Linked DNA regions of Anolis sagrei. The protein of the gene in region 1 interacts with the protein of each later gene in a biochemical or structural test. Links are inferred from orthologs where the notes say so. Each region holds a gene or a part of one and is shown in the gene's direction. Other genes may lie near its edges.

Evidence for each region.
Region 2: the proteins of ELN (region 1) and LOX form a complex in vitro, tested with the Homo sapiens proteins (2 studies listed by BioGRID and IntAct). The link is inferred for Anolis sagrei from reciprocal best matches to the Homo sapiens genes ELN and LOX.

Annotation. Positions count from the first base shown.
Region 1 is NC_090031.1:33,491,984-33,502,969, reverse strand, and holds the start of ELN (elastin), read left to right. Parts: upstream 1-6,746; 5' UTR 6,747-7,041; coding exon 7,042-7,132; intron 7,133-10,986. UniProt on the Homo sapiens protein: Major structural protein of tissues such as aorta and nuchal ligament, which must expand rapidly and recover completely.
Region 2 is NC_090022.1:240,381,988-240,392,086, forward strand, and holds the start of LOX (protein-lysine 6-oxidase), read left to right. Parts: upstream 1-6,068; 5' UTR 6,069-6,471; coding exon 6,472-7,081; intron 7,082-10,099. UniProt on the Homo sapiens protein: Responsible for the post-translational oxidative deamination of peptidyl lysine residues in precursors to fibrous collagen and elastin. Regulator of Ras expression. May play a role in tumor suppression. Plays a role in the aortic wall architecture.

The DNA of each region.
Region 1 (10,986 bases):
CGCCTTCCTTTCTTCCTTTCTAACATGCCACAGCAGAGAGGAAGATGAAAGTCCTTTAATTTATTTTATTTCCTTTCCTCTTTCTTTCTTTCTTTCTTTCTTTCTTTCTTTCTTTCTTTCCTTCCTTTCTTTCTCCTTCCTTCCTTCCTTCCTTCCTTCCTTCCTTCCTTCCTTCCTAACATGGCACAGTAGGGAGCAAGACGAAAGTCATTTATTCCCTTCCCTTTCTTTCCTTCCTCCCTCTTCCTCTCTCCTCCTTTCTTCCCTTCCCTTCCCTCCCTCCCTCCCTCCCTCCCTCCCTTTCTTTCATCCTTCCTTCCTTCCTTCCTTCCTTCCTTCCTTCCTTCATTCATTCATTTCATGCCACAGTAGAGAAGAAGATGAAAATCATTTATTTCCTTCTCTTTCTTTCTTTTTCGTTCTATCTTTTGCAAACATGACCCACTATGGAGGAACATGGAAACTCCCTTCTTTTTCTCTTTCTCTCTCTCTTTCTTTCCTTCCCTCCCTCCTTCCCTCCCTCCCACCCGCCCTCCCTCTCCTTTTTTCTTTCTTTCTTTCTTTCCTCCTTGCCACACATGGCCCAGCATGGATGAACTCATGCCATTTTCCCCTCCTTTTTTCCCCTTCCTTCTTTCCTCTTTCTTGCCCAGCATGGAGGCAGACACCTTCCTGGCCTCAGTGTGGTTTCTGGAGTGGAAGGGCCCTCTTTGCCGATTGCCAGCCATGTCCTCAGCGTCTCTTTCCTTCACCGAAGGCTTGGGGCGCCACACCTGCAGAGCGGCTCAGAGACAGAGGGTCATTCTTGTCCATTGCAAAAACCTTGCAAAACTGCATAGGCCAAGCTCCCTTTGCTTGTGACCTGACCTTGGCACCATTTGGGTGTGCGAAGGAGGCAAAACCATGGGCCCTTAGAGTGGGAAGAGACCCCAAAGGCCATCCAGCCCAACTCCCTTCTACCAGGCAGGTAGATGCAATCAATGCCCTCCCAACTTTGGTGCCCAAAATAGGTTTTTGCATGGCCTTTGGGGTCTCTTCCAACTCTAGGACTTTATGATTCTATGAAATGGATTTTTCAGAGGCTGGGTGGCCATCTGTTGAAAGGGATCAAATTGTGCCTTTTGCATGGCAGAATAGCTTTGGGGTCTCTTCCAACTCTAGAATTCTATGAATCAATCAACCAATTAATCAATTAATTAAGCACAAGTGGGATGGCCATCTGTCAGGAGGGCTCAGAATATGCCTTTTTGCATGGTAGAATGGAGTTAGACTAGATGGCCTTTGGGGTGTCTTCTGACTCTAGGATTCAATCAACTAATCAATCAATTAATAATCAAGCACATGCTGGATAGCTGGGAGGGCTTGGGTTGTGCTTTTTTTGTATGAATGGGGTTAGACTGGATGGCCAACTCTAGGATTCTATTATTCAATCAACTAATCAATCAATTAATAGTCAAGCACAGGCTGGTTGGCCATCTGTCAGGAGGGTTCGAATTGTGTCTTTTTGTATCAATGGGGTTAGACTGAATGGTCTTTGGAGTCTCTTCTGACTCTAGGATTCTATGATTCAATCAACGAATCAATCAATTAATGATAAGCACAGGCTGGATGGTCATCTGTTGGGAGGTCTCAGATTGTCTTTTTGCATGAATGGGGTTAGGCTGGATGACCTTTGAGGTCTCTTCCAACTTTAGCATTCTACAGAAAGCTTCTGCATCCCAAATCTGAGGAAATCCCAATGGAGTGTTGACTATAGCCAACTCCAGACTGGGATCCAACTGGGATGCCCTTCTTGCAGAGGATGATGGGATGTGGCGGCCCACCATTCAATTTCTTCCTTGGGATGCCCTGCTCCTCACCTCTCTCTGTTTCCGAGGTCCAAATGAAGACCAAATCTGGCCTAGGAGACGCAGACCAGCCTTGGGAGCTGGTGCCGAGCGAAGGGAGAACAGTGCCAAAGCCCAAGCAGAGCCAAGGTCAATACCGCCTCCGGCTGCCCGCTGGCCCCAGCATGGAGGGCCCTCGGCCTGGCTTTCATCTTCGCCCCTTTCCTCGATGTTGTTGGAAAAGGAGCCGGAGGCGTCCCGTGGAGCTGCTAAACATAGCAGAGGGTGACTCACGGAGCAGGAACTCGGAGCTTTTGCACAAGGAGGACAAGGAGGCATGTCCTTGGCGGGTGTCCACCTTCTTGTCCGAACCAAAAACACACCCGTGACTCCTTTTGCGTCCCATGTTTTCCTCTGTCCTGGTTATTTTCTTCTTCTCCCGCCTTGTTCCCTCAGCCTCAGCTCGCTTCAATTGCTGCAAACAGGTCTCATCAACAATGGCATAGAAGGCGGTGAGAAATGGCAATATATAAATGGTCAATGTGGGCTCATATCATGTATTATATGGTCAGTGTAGACTCATATAAGGCATTATATGAGCAGTGTAGACTCATGTCAGGTGTATGATCAGTGAAGACCTGTGTAAGGTATTATACAGTCAGTGTAGATTCGTGTAAAGTATTATATGGTCAGTGTAGACCCGTCCAAGGCATTATAGAGTTAATGTAGACTCGTGTAAGACATCATACAGTCAGTGTAGACTCGTGTAAGGCATTATATCATCAGTGTAGATTTGTGTAAAGCATTATATGGTTAATGGAGACTCATGTAAGTCATTATACAGTTAGTGTAGACTTGTGTAAGACATCATATGGTCAGTGTGGACTCGTGTAAGGAATTATACGGTCAGTGTAGACTTGTGTAAGGAATTATATGGTCAGTGTAGACTCGTGTAAGGCATTATACGGTCAGTGTAGACTCGCGTAAGGCATTATATGGTCAGTGTAGACTCCTGTAAGGCATTATATGCTCAGTGTAGACTCATGTAAGGCATTATAAAGTCAGTGTAGACTCATGTAAAGCATCATACAATCAGTGTAGTCTCGCATAAGGCATTATAAGGTCAGCGTAGACTCATGTAAGGCATTATACGGTCAGTGTAGACTCGTGTAAGGAATTACAGGGTCAGTGTAAATACTGTAAGGCATTATAAGGTCAGCGTAGACTCCTGTAAGGCATTATACAGTCAATGTAGACTTGTGTAAGGCATTATACGGTCAGTGTAGACTCCTGTAAGGCATTATACAGTCAGTGTGGACTCGTGTAAGGAATTATACGGTCAGTGTAGACTTGTGTAAGGCATTATAAGGTCAGCGTAGACTCGTGTAAGGCATTATACAGTCAATGTAGACTCGTGTAAGGCATTATACGGTCAGTGTAGACTAGTGTAAGGAATTATATGGTCAGTGTAGACTCCTGTAAGACATTATACGGTCAGTGTAGACTCATGCAAGGCATTATAAAGTCAGCGTAGACTTGTGTAAAGCATCATACAATCAGTATAGACTCGCGTAAGGCATTATAAGGTCAATGTAAACTCGTGTAAGGCATTATACGGTTAGTGTGAACATGTGTAAGGCATTACACGGTCAGTGTACTCGTTTAAGGCATTATACAGTCAGTATATGGCATTGTGTGGTAAATATAGACTCATATAATGCATGGCATTGTCAGTGTAGACACATATAAAGCACTTTATAGGGTCAGAGTAAGGCATTAGATGATCAGTATACTCATAAGGCATTGAATTGTCAACATAGATGCATATAAGAAATGGTATGGTCAGTATAAAGTCTCATAAGGCATTGTGTGGTCAGCGTAGAGGCATATAAGACATTGTATGATCAGTAGACTCATAAGGCATTGAATGGTCAATATAGATACATGTGGAGTCATATAAGGCGTTGTATGGTCAGTATGGAGTCATGTTGTTGCTGTTCTAGGTAGGGCATTATATGATCAGTAGGCTCATAAGGGATTGCATAGTAAATATAGATGCATATAAGGTACTGTATGATCAGTGTGGGGTCATATAAGGTGTTGTATGGTCAGTGTAACCTCATATAAAGCATTGTATGACCTTACACCTTTTGGAAAAAGGTGGCAAGGGGTGTCTCAGACCAGACAAGAAGACTTTTCTCTCAGTGCAACTTGTGTGTTCTCCTCGCACGAGTCGCCCGCCTCACCATGTTTTGCAATCCAGTACCAAGGCAGCTGGATGAAGGGAGAAAGAGAACAGAAGAAAGGGAGGAGAAGGCATTTTTGCAAAGGAAAACAGAGCGGTTCCTTCAGAAGTGGAGCCTGCATCCTCCCAGACAGACAGATGGCCATCTGGAGCCGTCCGGAGCCAAGTGGAAACGCGAGAGAGAGAGAGAGAGAGAGAAGAAAGAAAGAAAGAGCAAAAGAAAGAAAGAGAGAAAGATATACACACACTCAAATGCACACCCTTGAAATTGGGAAACATAGCGCTGTCTGCGGTCGCTGACCTAGGGAAGCCTGCCAGGCTGACTTTGCAGCTGGACCCAAAACATCTGGATGTCCTTTGGGAGTTGTAGTCCAACCTACCTTCCCCTCCCCCTCCCCCTCCCAAAGATATAGATCTTAGTACACAGAGGCATTTGCTTAGGACCCTTCCCAGTTGGCTCTGGCAAAAGCAAATGGCTGCATCCTCATCTACCTTGCCTGGTCTTCGCGATGAATAACATGTGCCATCTTGACTGTACTTTGCATGGCCAGGCCCTTCCCTGTTTCCATTTGCGGAACATCGCAGGGCCCAGGAATGTGTCGGCAAAACCTCCTGCCAAAGCAAACCCATCCATCCCAGATGAGCGACAAGAGATTGTTGCCGTTGCGGGGGATCGGATGTTCCTTTTGTCTGCCTGTGTCTTGTGTTGTGTCAGCCACGTCCGGTGCCCTCCCTTGCCCTTTTTGGGGCTCCAGGTGTGGGATATCGGAGCACAAAACAGCTTGAGCCATGTCTGGCCCTCAGCCCCGTTGGCTCCGAATCTCCGGCTCAGCTGTTTGGAAGCAAAGGAAGAATGCTTTTGGAGATAGGCTATCTCCAGACGTTCTGTCCCCCCCCCCCCCCAATTGTCTGGGCCCCCTTGTTTTCCAAGTGTGGTGGAGCCCCTTTCTCTGGGGGTCTTTAAGCAGAGGGGGATGGCCACCTGTCAGGGAGGGCTTGGGTGGTGTCTTCCTGCTTGGTGTCCTCCTTGTGGTCCCTTCCGATTGAAGGATTTGAAGATATATCTACCATTTCTCTCCCTCTTCAAACATATCTAATCAGCTCCTTCTGTAAAGTGGGTCATGGGGGTTCTGTATGCCAAATTTGGTCTTGATCCGTCATTGGTGTGGGTCTCAGTGGACTCAGGAAGTGAGTGAAAGTCCTTCAAGTCCCATCATCTATGGTCCATCCTCTTCCAAACTGCACTAGGATGTAGAATGGGCGATGGGGGCTCTGTGTGCCAAGTTTGGTCTTGATCCTTCATTGGTGTGGGTCTCAGAGGTCTCAGGAAGTGAGGGAAGGTACTGCAAGTCCCATCATCCATGGTCCATCCTCTTCCAAACTGCACCAGGATGGGCGATGGGGGCTCTGTGTGCTATGTTTGGTCCTGATCTGTCATTGGTGGGGGTCACAGTGGTCTCAGGAAGTGAGTGAAGGTACTGCAAGTCCCATCATCCGTGGTCCATCCTCCCCTAAACCACACCAGGCTGTAAAGTGGGTCATGTGGGGTCTGTGTACCAAGTTTGGTCCTGTTCCATCATTGGTGGGGTCACAGTGGTCTGTGGGAGCTGAAGTGATTGAAAGTACTGCAAATCCCACCATCTGTCAGCCATCCTCCCCCAAACTACACCAGGATGTAAAATGGGTCATGGGGGTTATGTGTACCAAGTTTGGTCCAGGTTCGTCTTTCATGGGGGTCACAGTGTCCTGTGGAAGTGGGAGCCAATCAGAAAGCTGCCACATACACACATACCTATACATCCACATACATACGTTCTAGACTTTTATTATTCTAGAACCCACGGTGGCAAAATGGGTTAAACCCTCATGTCGGCAGGACTGCTGACAGACAGGTCAGTGGTTTGAATCTGGCGAGCGTGGGTGAGCTCCCATCTGTCAGCTCCAGCTTCTTATGTGGGGATATGTGAGAAGCCTCCCACAGGATGGTAAAACACCAAAAACATCTAGGCGTCCCCTGGGCAACATCCTTGCAGACGGCCAATTATCTCAAGTTTCTCAAGCTGCTTTTGACACACACAAAAATATCTCCTTCTCTCAATCATATATATCATATCTATGACCATTATCTTTGTCTGGATGGCCATCTGTCAAGAGGGCTTAGGTGGTGTCCTCCTGCTTGGTAGGAGGAAGTTGGACTAGATGGCTTTTGGGGTCTCTTCCAACTCTTTGATGTTCTGGTTCCATGATTCACTTGAGCTGTCCGCACCATCAAAGAACCAAAAGTCACTCCGGAGTTCCCGTGAAACGTAGTCCTTCCTTCTGACTTTGCTTCGCTTTGAAGAAAGTTGGGTTGTGGGCAAACAAGGGCCCTGTCTAACTGACCATTTAACACAGTTTCAAACCACTATGGAAGTAAGCACAGGTGATTGCCTTGGAAATCCTGGAACCAGTTGGACGCCCGGATGGTGCTGATGTGAACCGCAGAGCGCTGATGCGCATGAAGAGAGTTTGGAGTTAGCTTGGGCCCAGAGACAGATCCACTGCAGGATTTGGGAGTGAGTCTGCCTTCTTTTCGCCGGTGTAGACACATCCTTTATGGAGTTGGGTCAGGGCTGCCGTCCCAAGCTAGAGGGAGCTCCAAACACCTCCTTTTCCTACAAACTCTTGTCTTTTCTTGGCAGCTGTGCTCGCTTTTGGCAAGAGACTGGGCCCAGACGACCGAGAGGGAGAGATTTTTCGAAACAAGGGAAGCCAGCCCAAAAAACTCTCCTGTTTGTTTGCCCTCTCTGGATGACGTCGTGTCCCGGGCCGTTCTCCTCCTTCTCCCTCCCTCCTTCTCTCTAGACCCCCTCTTTTTTCAGCCCACCCACCCCCTGAAAAAAAAGTCTCTGGAAGCCGCAAATTGAGCTGCGGCACCGCTGGGATAAAACCGCTCGGGCCGCCAGCAGACTGGGGCATTGCTGGGGAGAGATGGCTAAGCCGTGGACTTCTTCCCTCCTTTCTGGAGCAGCCGGCCTCCTCCTTCTCCTCCTCTCCAGCCTCCCGGCTTCGTGGCAAGGAGGTAAGCAAAGGGAGAGCCCACTCCAGGCTCAGGCTACCTGGTTTGGGGGGTTAGCATGCATCCCCTCCATGTAGAAGGAAGGCCAGCCCTTGGATAGGCTACTGGTGGACCTCCTTGCCTCCTTTCCATCCTCTCCTTCTGTGAGGACCTTTCAACTTTCTGCTCATCTCTTCCTGCAGCATTGGACCTCCTTGTCTTCTTTCCATCTTCTTCTCTGGGCATCTTTTAACTTTCTGGTCTTCTTTTCATGCGGATGGTGGACATCCTTGTCTCCTTTCCATCTTCTTCTCTGGGCATCTTCTAACTTTCTGGTTCTTTTAATATGAATGGTGGACATCCTTGTCTCCTTTCCATCTTCTTCTCTGGGCATCTTCTAACTTTCTGGTTCTTTTAATATGAATGGTGGACATCCTTGTCTCCTTTCCATCTTCTTCTCTGGGCATCTTCTAACTTTCTGGTTCTTTTAATATGAATGGTGGACATCCTTGTCTCCTTTCCATCTTCTCTGGGCATCTTCTAACTTTCTGCTCATCTCTTTCTGCATATGGTCAACCTCCTTGTCTCCTTTTCTTCTCCTTCTGTCGGGATCTTCCAATTTTCTGGTCTTCTCTTAATGCAAATGATGGACCTCGTCTCCTTTCCATCTTCCTCTTCTCTGGGCATCTTTTAACTTTCTGGACTTCTCTTAATGCAAATAGTGCTCCTTGCCTCCATTCCATCTTCTCCTTCTCTGGGCATCTTTCAACTTTCTAGTCTTCTCCTTTCCATCCTCTCATTCTCTGAGGCTCTTCCAATTTTCTGCTCATCCCTTCCTGTGGCATTGGACCTCCTTGCATTCTCTCCATCTTCTCCTTCTCTGGGCGTCTTCTAAATTTCTGGTCTTCTCTTCCTGTGGATGGTAGACCTCCTTGTCTCCTCTCTATCTTCCTCTTCTCTGGGTATCTTCTAATTTTCTGGTCTTTTCTTAATGCAAATGGTGTTCCTTGCCTCCATTCCATCTTCTCCTTCTCTGGGCATCTTTCAACTTTCCAGTCTTCTCTTCTTGTGGATGGTGGACCATCTCTGCATCTTCTCCTTCTCTGAAGCTCTTCCAGCTTTCTGCTCATCTCACCCTACAGCAGTGGGCCTCCTTGCCTCTTTTCCACCTTCTCCTTCTCTTGGCATCTTCTAACTTTCTGGTCTTTTCTTAATGTAGACCTCTGTGTCTCCTTTCACTTCATCCTCTTGACATATTCTGACTTTCTGGTCTTTTACTGCAGATGGTGGTCCTTTTTTCCTCCTTGCCATCCTCTCCTTCTCTGATCTTTCCATCTTTGCTGGGGATCTTCCAACTTTTGGCTGATCTCGTCCTGCAGTGTTGGACTATCTTGTCTCCTTTCCATCTTCTTCTTCTCTGGGCATCTTGAACTTCCCTGTCTTCCCTTACTATGGATGGTGGACCTTGTTGTCTCCTTTCCATCTTTTCTGGGGAACTTCTTCCAATGTTCCAGTCTTGTCTTCTCCGATTTCCAATTTTTTTTTCTTCCCTCCTCCCCCTTTGCATCCCTCCTCTCACTTTCACTGAAAGGAACAAAACTTCCCAACTCTTTGCTCCAGCCTTCTGATGGAAGAGGGTCTGCAAAACCAGCTGGATAGGGAAATGGTGATGCCACCATTATATTCCTCACTTTAAAAAATCAGAACTAAATAGGGTAGGAAGAGTGGCAATATGAGCTGGGTTTGAGAGATGGTTTCCAAATTGCAAATCTTGGTCATGGGGATGGATCAGAGAGTGCCTCTGAGCATGTACAAGTGTTCTGAGTAAGCCTGGATGGTGGTTAGAACATGGGACAATCAAGCCCGAGAGTTTGTATCGAAAAGGAGTAGTTACCAGAAAAGTGTGTGTTTTTGTTCTAATTTGCACACAAGTTGGTTAGTAAGAGCCACCTGTGTTCTGATCTGACATCCTTTTCTAGGTTACTTTGGTTGCAAAGGAGAATGGAAACAGGAGATGGGTCCCACTTGTTGGACACTTTGGGATCCCTTTCTAACTTGCAAAGGATCCAAGAAATGGGACCAATAGTCTCTCAGATCTGTCCAATGCCCAGTGGGTTCTCTTGTTCCTTCTTTAAGAACTTCTCGTCCGGTCAAACTTTGCACGTCCGTCTGCGACTTCTATATTTTTTTGGACCAAGTTGTCCGAACCCCTTGGGTTTCGGCTGGCAATCACAATTCATTCGCAGTGAAGCAATTTCAAACTGACATGATGTATTCTTCCCATGCTCTGCTTCGGCGAGACAACTGGGTTGGGTTGGGATAAGTCTTGGAAGAGAAATGTGGCTAATTTTGCAGTGGATGAGTTGTCTCAGAGGGATGAGAAAGGCTTGGGAGATCTTTCTGAGGAAGGCTTGGCTTTGTGACTCAAGCGAGCTAAAGGTGCTTGATAAGTATAGGTTTGTGAAATATTTCACTGGTGATGCAGTCTGTTTGGAGAATCCTGGGATCACGGGAGGACCCCAAAGGCCATCTTGACTGACCAACAATGCATCCAAGGAAGACCCTAAAAATCTCGAGACCCCAGAATCATCACATTGGCCTTTTGCACTGCTGCATCACACTGTTGGCTCAGGTTCAGCTAATAATAATAATAATAATAGTAATAATAATAATAATAATAATAATAATACTTTTGTTTCTTACCTGCCTCTCCTTGTGTCTCTTTATGAAGACACCTAGATGCCTTTTGCATGGACTCCTTTCAAACCCATTCTATTACAGCTGTGCATTTCATGGTTACTGCCAGAGTGTAGTACTATACATTTTTCCCTCTTGCAATGCATTCTGTTAGTTTTAGCTGAACAGCTCTCTGATCGTTAAGGTCCTTTTGGATCCTTATCCTGTCTTTTTGGGATCTTAGCTCTTATTCCCAATTTGGTCCCATCTGCAAATCTGATCAGCATGCTTTCAATTCAGATTATACATAAAGCTGACAGTTCCCAGCATCAGAGGGAGAAAGGGAGTGTATATTTTGCTTCCAGTTGTTGTTATTGTAGTTATTACATTGTAATTACATTATCATTACATTGTTTTTTTTCATTATTATATTAAAATATAATAATAATATATGTTGGAGAGTAGTCCCTGTTCAAGTGGTCCTTGGTCAAGTGGTTCCTGGTCAAAGTGGTCCCTGTTCAAATGGTCCTTGATCAAGTGGTCCCTGTTCAAATGGTGCTTGGTAAAGTGGTCCCTGGTCAAAATGGTCCTTGATCAAGTGGTCCCTGTTCAAAGTGGTCCTTGATCAAGTGGTCCCTGTTCAAGTGGTGCTTGGTAAAGTGGTCCCTGGTCAAAGTGGTCTTTGATCAAGTGATCCCTGGTCAAGTGGTCCTTGGTCAAAGTGGTCCCTGATCAAGTAGTCCCTGTTCAAGTGGTCCTTGATCAAATAGTCCCTGGTCAAAGTAGTCCCTATTCAAATGGTCCTTGGTCAAGTGGTCCCTATTCAAGTGATGCTTGGTAAAGTGGTCCCTGGTCAAAATGGTCCTTGATCAAATGGTCCCTGGTCAAAGTGGTCCTTGCTCAAGTGGTCCTTGGTCAAAGTGGTCCTGGTTCAAGTGGTATCTGGTCAAAGTGGTCCCTGGTCAAAAAAAGGTTAGGAACCACTGAATTAGTCAAAAAAGGAGCAAGATTTGGAATCTTTTTCCAAATTGTTCCCTGAAGTCCAGCTTAGGAGCTGATGGAGGTGTGAGCATCCCTCAAAGACTACAAATCCCACCTGCTCTAGCATTCATAAAAATGCTGGGATGTGTAGTTATTTGGCTGCAAAAAGATTGAGATCTACCTTGATGCAATTGTTTATCAAATTCTGCTGATACTCTTTA
Region 2 (10,099 bases), on another chromosome or scaffold:
TTGAAATAAGAGATATCACTACAGGTGATTTACTTAAGAGTTTGGTAACTGTCACTGGTGTTGTTGTTGTGTGCCTTCAAATATGGCAAACCCGAAGTAAACCTATCATGGTTTTTTTAATAGGTTGAGAGTATGTCACCTAGTGGGTTTCCACAGCTGAGCAGGGATTCGAACCCTAGTATCTATGTGTTTTAACTATGTTGTACCAAACATTGAGCCGTGTAACAAATACATTGTTGTTGATGCTGCCTCTTCTAAAGCCCATCACACAAATCAATACACCACACTGGCTCTTAACTGTCACACACCTTTTGATTAGTGTGAAAATTGATACCCATGCTCAAAATAGTTTACAGTATTTTGAGTATACAGTTCTTACAAGATCCTTAAGGATCTAATGTAGATGGGAAACACATAGTACTTTAGGCCAAAAGCCTTTTTGGCACGCCAATGTCATTGAACTACTGTTAAAACAGGCATGGACAAACTTCAGCCCTCCAGGTGTTTTGGACTTCAACTCCCACCATTCCCAACAGCCTGCTGGCTGTTAGGAATTATGGGAGTTGAAGTCCAAAACACCCGGAGGGCTGAAGTTTGCCCATGCCTGTGCTAAATAATGAGGGACAATTCTGCCACATTTTGCTTTGTATTGAACATTTTACCCCCACCCCCCCCCCCCACCCCGCCCCCACACACACATACACCAGGGACTGATCCAGAAGTTGGCTGGGCCTGTCCTGGGTTTAAAATGGCCCCAGAAGGACCAAAAAGGCTAGCAATATTACTCCTGTCCCTATGATATACTGGGAGTCATGGGAGATTTGGAGGTCTGGACCTCCAGGGCATTCCCCCAATGGCCAACAGTTGCCCATTACTGATCCAATGCAAAAGCGCACAAACTCCATATAGCTGAAATCACTGGGTTACTGTGAGTTTTTTGGGCTGTATGGCCATATAGCCCGGAAAGCTCACAGGAACCCAGTGATTCGGGCCATGAAAGCCTTTGACATCAAATCCAAGATTTTCTTTTAAGATATGAATGGTTGAACCTTTGGCTGCAGGATCTCTGTTGGGATTCAGCAGATTGTCTCGATTCCTTATAATAGAATTACTAACATTTTCCTCAGAAAAAAGGAGAGGAAAAACCTCTCCCATTTCCCCGTCTGACATTTTTGGACATGACAGTGGGTTCCTCTCGGGGAAAACCCTGTTTTGAAGTGAGTCTCTCTTCCAGGAGACACGTCGGTCACGAAGTCCTCCTGTGACTCACCCCAGTGTTAAAAAACAAAACTAAACTTGGTATGCAGGAGTTTATTTGAGGTGGATTTGGACCATACTGAATAAGGAGCGTTTCAAGCGGATGTGGAGTGGCTGTTGTAATGTGTGTGGTGTTGAGGTGAAGCTGCCTTGTTGAGAGATTTGTGTTTTGTGCATTTCCACCTCAGTCACCACCAAAGACTCACCCCAGAATAAAAAGGCCCACAAAACTTGGTATGCAGGAGTTTATACAAGGAGGTCATAATGACAAGTGGACATCGAGTTGTTGGGCTTTCTCTTATTCTGGACTTTCCCACCTCAGACACCACTAAGGTTCCCCTCAGAGCTCCTATGATGGGAGAAAGAGGTCTAGGGCAAAAAATAACACATTTCCCAGAAAACATGTTCCGTCTCCTCTCTTTGGACTCAGCTTTCTGGTCTCTCTCTGAGTCGGCGCTGATGATCTAATAGCATTTTTCTCTGTGCATATTTTGGCGGCGCCTCAGCACCTGGCAAGGCCTCAGGAGTCTGAGGAAAGAGGAAAGGAGAAGGAAGCCTGCCTGCTGCTGCTGTTAACCCTTATGGCCATCTTCTGTGTGGAAACCAACTCTGCCTCGACCCTCTTGGCTTCCCTCAGATACCACCCCAAAAAGAGCATTACGGAGTGTCAAGTCAGGGGGTGCTATGGTTTAAACTTTGAATATGTTTAATTGATTTTAACTGTGATTTTTTAAAATACTGTTATGTTTAATTCTCTTTTAATGTTTGAATAATAGTATATTTTAAATTATGTAGTAATACTTTTAATGTAAGTCACATTGAGGCCCCTTCCACACGGCTGAATAAAATCCCACATTATCTGCTTTGAACTGGAATATACAGCAGTGTGGACTCAGGGCTCTTCCAGACAGGTCCTATATCCCAGGATCTGATCCCAGGTGTTCTGCTTTAAACTGAATTAGAGTCCACACTGCCAGATAATCTGGGATAAACAGAAAACCTGGAATCAGATCCTGGGATATAGGGTCTGTCTAGAACGGCCCTCTGATAACTTAGTTCAAAGCAGATATTGTGGGATTTTCTGCCTTGATATTCTGGGTTATATGGCTGTATGGAAGGGCCCCGAGTTTCCTCTGGAGTGATAAATCAGGGTATAAATAAACATAATAATATATTTTTTAAAAGGAATGCAGTTTGACACCCTCTTAACTGCCATAGCTCAATGCTATAGGATAATGCAGATGACACTCAAATCTACTACTCTTTTCCACCTCACTCCAAGGAAGCTCTCCATATCCTGGACCAGTGCCTGGCAGCTGTGATGGACTGGATGAGAGCCAACAATCTGAGGCTTAATCCATACAAGACAGAGGTCCTCTTGTTCAGTCGTGAGGTGGATCGGGGTATAGGGTGTCAACCTGTGCTCGACGGGGCTACACTCCCCCTGAGGACACAGGTCCGGAGTCTGGGGGTTCTCCTGGATTCATCATTGATGCTTGAAGCTCAGTTGTTGGCAGTGGCTGGGAGCGCCTTCACACTATGTGCCAACTGTGACTGTACCACGAGAAGCCTGACTTGGCCATGGTGGTCCATGCCTTAGTTAAATCCAGAATGGACTATGGTAAGCACTTTCCGTGGGGCTGCCTTTGAAGATGGTTCAGAAACTGCAGCTAGTGCAAAGGTTGGCTGCCAGATTATTAACTGGGGCTAGTTATAGAGAGCATACCACACCTCTATTAAAGCAGCTCTACTCTCTTCCAACTAGTTTCCGGGTTCAACCTATCTTCGAGACTGCATTTCTTTCTATCAACCGGTGCGGGCTTTGAGATCTGCAGAGGAGTCCCTTCTCTTGAGAGAGGGCTTTTTGGTGGTGGCTCCCCAGCTCTGGAATACCCTCCCATAAGAGATTAGGTTAGCCCCCACCCCCCAATCCTTCCGATCTAGCCTAAAAACAAGGATTTTTAAACAGGCCTTTAACCTCAAGTAGGCTGTAATGGGCCTAAATGAGGTTGACATGCTGGTACTTTAGTTTGTGAATTGCTGGCAACTAGTTTTTATCTACAGGTGTTCTGCATTATAAAATGGAGCAATTTTATTTTTTGTTATATGCATTGGTAATGGTTGTTGTTATAATGTTATGTTTTATTGTTTTATATTTTTGTACCATTTTATGTTATATGCTGCACCCTGGAGTGCCTTAGTAAGCTGTCCCAAGTCCCTTTGGGAAGATGGTGGTGGGATATAAATAAAGTTTATTATTATTATTACTTGAAACACAACAAGATGAGTCCACAGCAGACACTCTGCTGGCTGTTGTATTGGATCACACGTCAGACACTTATTATTATTATTATTATTATTATTATTATTATTATTATTAACTTTATTTGTACCCCGCTAGCATCTCCCGAAGGACTCGATGCCGCTTACAAAGGCCAAGGCCTCAAAACACAACATAACAATACACAACCTAAAGCAAATTAAAAAATTAAAAACAGTTAAAGCAAAATTAAACAACAAGCAATAAACAATACACCAAGACACAATAAAACTGGGCCGGGCCAGAGTAATGGGTACAGATTAAAAGTGCTGAAGTGACAGGTGATATGTAAGGATTATAGGGTATGTGCAGTGTGCCAGCAATCTTAATTCTAATAAAGTGCTTCTGGGACTTGTTATTGGAGTTTTCCTATTCTGGAAAGGCACATCGGAACAGCCAGGTCTTCAAGTTCTTTCTAAAGACTGCCAACGTAGGGGCCTGTCTAAGATCTTTGGGGAGGGTGTTCCAGAGTTGGGGGGCCACCACAGAAAAGGCCCTGTCTCGTGTCCCCACCAAACGTGCCTGTGACAAAGGCGGAATCATGAGCAGGGCCTCTCCGGATGAACGAAGTGAACGCGTGGGTTCGTACATGGAGATGCGGTCACGCAGGTAGGATGGTCCCAAACCGTTTAGGGCTTTGTAGGTAAGCACCTGCACCTTAAATTGGGCTTCCCAAAGGTCTAGGACTGTGTGATGTATCAACGAATAATGCGTGCAGATTCCAGTAAGGTGGCCTTCTGCAGCTGTTAGATGGTAATCTTGTCAGCGCCGATTGTGTTTAAGTGCAGGCCAAGGTCTTTAGGCACTGCACCCAGTGTGCCGATCACCACTGGGACCATCTTTACTGGCTTGTGCCAGAGTCTTTGGAGTTTGATCTTTAAATCCTCATATTATGTCAGATTTTCCAGTTGTTTCTCTTCAATCCTGCTGTCACCTGGGACTGCAACATCAACAATCCATACTTTGTTTTTTAACATGATTGTGAGGTCAGGAGTATTGTGCTCCAAAACTCTGTTTGAATTTGGAAGTCCCAGAGTAGCTTGGCGTATTCATTCTCTGTAACTTTTTCTGGCTTGTGATCCCACCAGTTCTTTGTCACAGGCAGATAGCATTTGTGGCACAAATTCCAATGAATCATCTGAGCAATGGCGTTATGCCTCTGCTTGTAGTCTGTGCGATCTTCTTGTAGCAGCTTATTATTATTATTATTATTATTATTATTATTATTATTATTTTACTGACACAAAAGCACAATATGTCACAGCAAACGAGATCTATATGCTGGATTTCGTATCACAAAATCACAAGTCGAACATTTCCCAAGCATCTAGGACTGTGTCATTTACTATTATTATTATTATTATTAGTAGTAGTAGTAGTAGTATTAATATTATTATTATGGAATAGGGGTCTGTCCTTGTTTGTCTTATTGTCTTTAGTAATAGGGTAATATTAGAAGTGGCTAGAATTTAGTTAAGTTATTCCATTTTAAAAAAATAAATCAAAACTTATAATATGTGCAAACATGATCCAACCCCTTTGAATGAATATATGTGTGTGTACACACACACACGCATACAGTTTGACCCCCCCCCCTTTAACTGCCATGGTTCAATGCTGTGGTGTATTCGTGGGACAATGGGATTTGTAGTTTGGAGGGGGGCATCAACTCTGCTTTGTCAAATGCTTTCATGGCTGGAATCACTGGGTTGCTGTACATTTTTCGGGTTGTATGGCCATGTTCCAGAAGCATTATTTCCTGACATTTTGCCTGCATCTATGGCAGGCATCCCCAGAGGCTGTTTAGTATCTGGGCAATTTCAGCACTGGGGGGCCTTCCACATAGCCCTATATTCCAGAATATCAAGGCAGAAAATACCACAATATCTGCTTTCTACTGGGTTATCTGAGTCCACACTTTGGGGCCCTTCCAGAAAGGTCCTATATCCCAGGATCTGATCCCAGTTTTTCTGCATTAAACTGGATTATATAAATCCCCACCTTCAGATAATCTGGGATAAACAGAAAACCTGGGATCAGATCCTGGGATATACAGGGTCTGTTTGGAAAGGTCCTCAGATAATGTGGGATTTTCTGCCTTGATATTCTGGGATATAGGGCTATGTGGAAGGCTCCCCAGTGCTGAAATTGCCCAGATCTTATGGGCCCTTCCACACAGCCCTATAACCCATGATATCAAAGCAGAAAATCCCACAATATCTGCTTTCAACTAGGTTATCTGAAATGGTTTCAGGCTGTATTTATTCCACAGTATAGAGTAGATACACCCTGTGTCTATCAGTGAGAGGAGGAAAAAAATGGGGGCGCCGTCGACATCTCATGTCAGGAATCCCATTACGTGAACAAACAGCCTTGTGTAACTTTGCAACTGTGCCAGAAAAGTTTGAAAAAATAATAAAGCAGAATCCCTCCTCCCCAGCCTTTCTCCCCTCCTCCGTCTCTTGGTCCCAGACAGCAGCCAAAGGGAGAGAGAGAGAGAGAGAGAGAGAGAGAGAGAGAAAGAGGCGCACACAGAGAGAGACTCGCTCCTTTCCACATCCATCTCTCCAGTGGAGAGAAGAAAACACAATTGGGAAGGAGAGAGAGAGAGAGAAAGAAAGAGAAAGAGGGCGCCTTCTCTCTCCATACTCATCTCTTCAAGGGAAGGAAGGAACCCCAATTGGGAAGCAGAGAGAAAGGGCTCCTTTTCGCTCTTCATTCAGCGGAGAAAACCCATCTGGGAAGAAGAGAGAAAGTGAGAGGTGGTTTTCAGACTAGTAAGGAAGCGAGACCTCAGTCGAAGGGGCTCATCAAAGAGGACGGGCTGCTCCGCTTTGTATTATTACTGCTCCCAAAGGCACGAGTGGTGTTGTTGTGAACACCGTGAAGCCACGATGCGCCTCTTCTCCCGGCTTCTCTGTTGGCTCGGCCTCTTCTGGCTCCAAGCGGAGGGATTGCCTCCTCCGAGGAACCCCGCTCCTCCTCCTCCTCCCCCGGCGGTGTGGCAGCAGCGGATTCAGTGGGAGAACAACGGGCAGGTGTACAGCCTCCTCAGCGTGGGCTCCCAGTACCAGCCTCCGCGGAGGAGGCACAGCTCGGAGGCGCCGCAAGGCAACCACGTCCTGCTGCTCCGGGGGAACGGGACGGCTCCGCGCAGGGCTGCGCCTCCCGCCTCGCCGCCCTCCCTCGCCCCCGACGCCCAGGGGCAAGAGCCGCGCCTTTGGTTCCAAGCCGGAGGAGGAGGAGGAGGGAGGAGAGCGCCGCCGCCCGAGAGCGCCTCCTCCCGGCCGGGCAACAACACCACCACCAGCAGCAGCAGCAGCAATGCGCCTCCACTGAACAGCTTGCCCCGCCGCCGCGATGACGTGATGCAGGGCGACGACCCCTACAACCCTTACAAGTACACCGACGACAACCCGTATTACAACTACCACGACACCTACGAGAGGCCCCGGCAGAGCAGCCGGTACCGGCCCGGTTATGGCACGGGGTACTTCCAGTATGGTAAGAAGGCGAATCCGTGTCTCTCTCTTGGAAGTGCCTATGTCAGTGGTTCCCAGCCTTCCTAATGCCCCAACCCCTTAATACAGTTCCTCAGGTTGTGGTGACCACCCCCCCCCCCAACCACTATCACCTTATTTTCGTCCCTACTTCACAATTGTAATTTTGCTGCTGCTAAAGTAAAGGTTAAGGTAAAGGTTTTCCCCTGACATTAAGTCCAGTCGTGTCTGACTCTGGGGTTTGGTGCTTATCTCCATTTCTGAGCCAAAGAGCAGGCGTTGTCCATAGACACCTCCAAGATCATGTGGCCGGCATGACTGCATGGAGTGCAGTTATGTTCCCGCCAGAGTGGTACCTATTGATCTACTCACATTTGAATGCTTTTGAACTGCTGAGTTGGCAGGAGCTGGGGCTAATAGCGGGAGCTCACACTGCTCCCTGGATTTGAATCTGTGACCTTTCAATCAGCAAGTCAAGTAGCTCAGTGCTTTTAACCCACTGTGCCACTGGGGGCTCATTTTTTTTGCTAGTGTTATGAATTATTTATTTATTTAAAACATTTATATTCTGCCCTTCTCATCCCGCAGGGGACTCAGGAGGGAGCACAACATATATATATATATATATATATATATATATATATATATACATACACATACACACACACACACACACACACACATATACACACCTACGAGAGGTGTGTGTGTATATATACACACACACACACACATATACACATGCACATAAACACACACGCACACACATACAGGCATGTAGCGGGGGGGGGGCTTGAGGGGCTTCAGCCCCCCCCCCGAAATTCTCATGGTGGTTCGCGAAAAGGCCTTACTGGTGCATTATTTAAACTGTTATGTGTATTCATATCTTAATCTGATCACCTTACACAATATATCCCGTATGCATGGGGGTATTGGGGTAACAATACAAAAGGTTTGCTAGGGTAGACCCTCTTTCACTCAGACTCAGCCCCCCCCCCCCCAAATCGAAATCCTGGCTACGGGCCTGCATACACACACACGGCAAACTTTCAATGCCGGGACATAAAACCATAAGTATATACAAACCTTAAAATAATGTATATTAACATTAAAAGTTGTTTACAGACCATCTCAGGACACCATTTTGCCTCATTGCACTTCCTCAAAGGCTTGGTCCCACAGCCAGGTCTTCACCATCCTTCTGAAGGACAGGAGGGAGGGGGCCGATCTAATATTACTAGGAAGGGAGTTTCATATTTTAAATATCTGATATGCAAGATGTATTTTCATTCACTGGACCAAATTTGGCACAAAACCCCAATACGCCCAAATTTGAATACTGGTGGGGTTGGGGGAAGGATTAATTTTGTTATTTGGGAGTTGTAGTTGCTGGAATGTATAGTTAACTTACAATCAAAGAGCATTTCTGAACTCAAACAATGGAATTGAACCAAATTTGGCACACAGGACTCCCATGACCAACAGAAAACACTGGTAGGATTTGGTGGGCATTGACCTTGAGTTTTGGAGTTGTAGTTCACCTACATCCAGACAGCACTGTGGACTCAAACAATTATAGATTTGGAGTAGACTTGGCACAAATACTCAATATGCCCAAATGTGTACACTGGTGGAGTTTGGGGAAAATAGAGCTTGACATTTAGGGAGTTGTAGTTGCTGGGATTTATAGCTCACCTACAATCAATGAGCATTCAGAACCCCACTAACGACAGAACCCCATCCACACAGAACCTCCCTGATCAACCAAAAATATTGTGTTTTCTGATGGTCTTTGGCAACTCCACTGATGCCCCCTCGCAACCCCCCAGGGGTCCCGACCCCTAGGTTTAGAAACACTGACCTATGCGCAGAGGCAAGCCACAGAAAGGTTCACCCATCACACAAAGTCATGGGCCAACTTGGGACTTGCAGGTGTTTTGGACTTCAACTCCCACCATTCTAACACCCTCAGGCCCTTTCCTTCCCCCCCCTCTGCTGCTTAAGGGAAAAGGAAAAGGCCTGAGGATGTTAGGAATGGTTGGAGTTGAAGTTGACACCTGGAGGGCCCATGCTTGCCCATGCCTCATAGAATGTCTTCATCCACTTTAAATCCTATGGCTGCATTCTGCAGCTTCAACATTCTGTGCCAGAGAAGTCCTGGTCCTCACTAGCCTACAAACCCCAGGATTCTGTAGGAGGCAGCCTGTCCTTTCAAGTGTGTTGTCGAAGGCTTTCATGGCCGGAATCACCGGGTTGCTGTGAGTTTTCTGGGCTGTATGGCCATGCTCCAGAAGCATTCTCTCCTGACATTTCACTCACATCTGTGGTAGGCATCCTAGACGCGCCACAGATATATAAACCCCACTTGCCTTGTTTCCAACACACCTCACAATCTCTGAGGATGGCTGCCATAGATTTGGATGAAACATCAGCTAGCTCACAACAATCCATTGTCCTTTCAGGTGTTTTGGATTTCAGCTTACAGGAGTATTGGCCCTAGTCTTGGCTAATGATCAGGGATCTTGGGAGCTGAAGTTCAAAGTACAGGCAGTCCCTAAGTGACAAACAACTCCTAGTTCAGAACAAGGGTGAGACAACAGGAAGTGAGAGAAATCTACCCCTGGGAAGGGAAATTCACTCCTGGAGAGGAGTTATCATGGGGAAAAGGTGTCTCCACTGAAGCTGTATCACCAAGCCTTGTTTCCACAAGCCTCATTTTGCAAAATCCAATTCTTATAGATACAGAAAGTGAGGTGATATCTTCTGAACAAAGCACAGACAGCAAAACAAAGACCATCTATTATTTATTTATTTACCCTATTAATACCCACCTTTCTTTACTCTGAAAAGGACTCAAGGTGGCTTACATATGGCAAGTAATACTGTTCCATTATCTAGGTGGACTCCATAAGAAGACCTATAGAGAGAAGTATAGTTCATTTTATTGGAGGGAAGGGGGAGTTGAAGGAAGAAAATCATTTCCCCTATTTTAGCTGGTTATTTCTGCCCCTCCCTTTCCCAT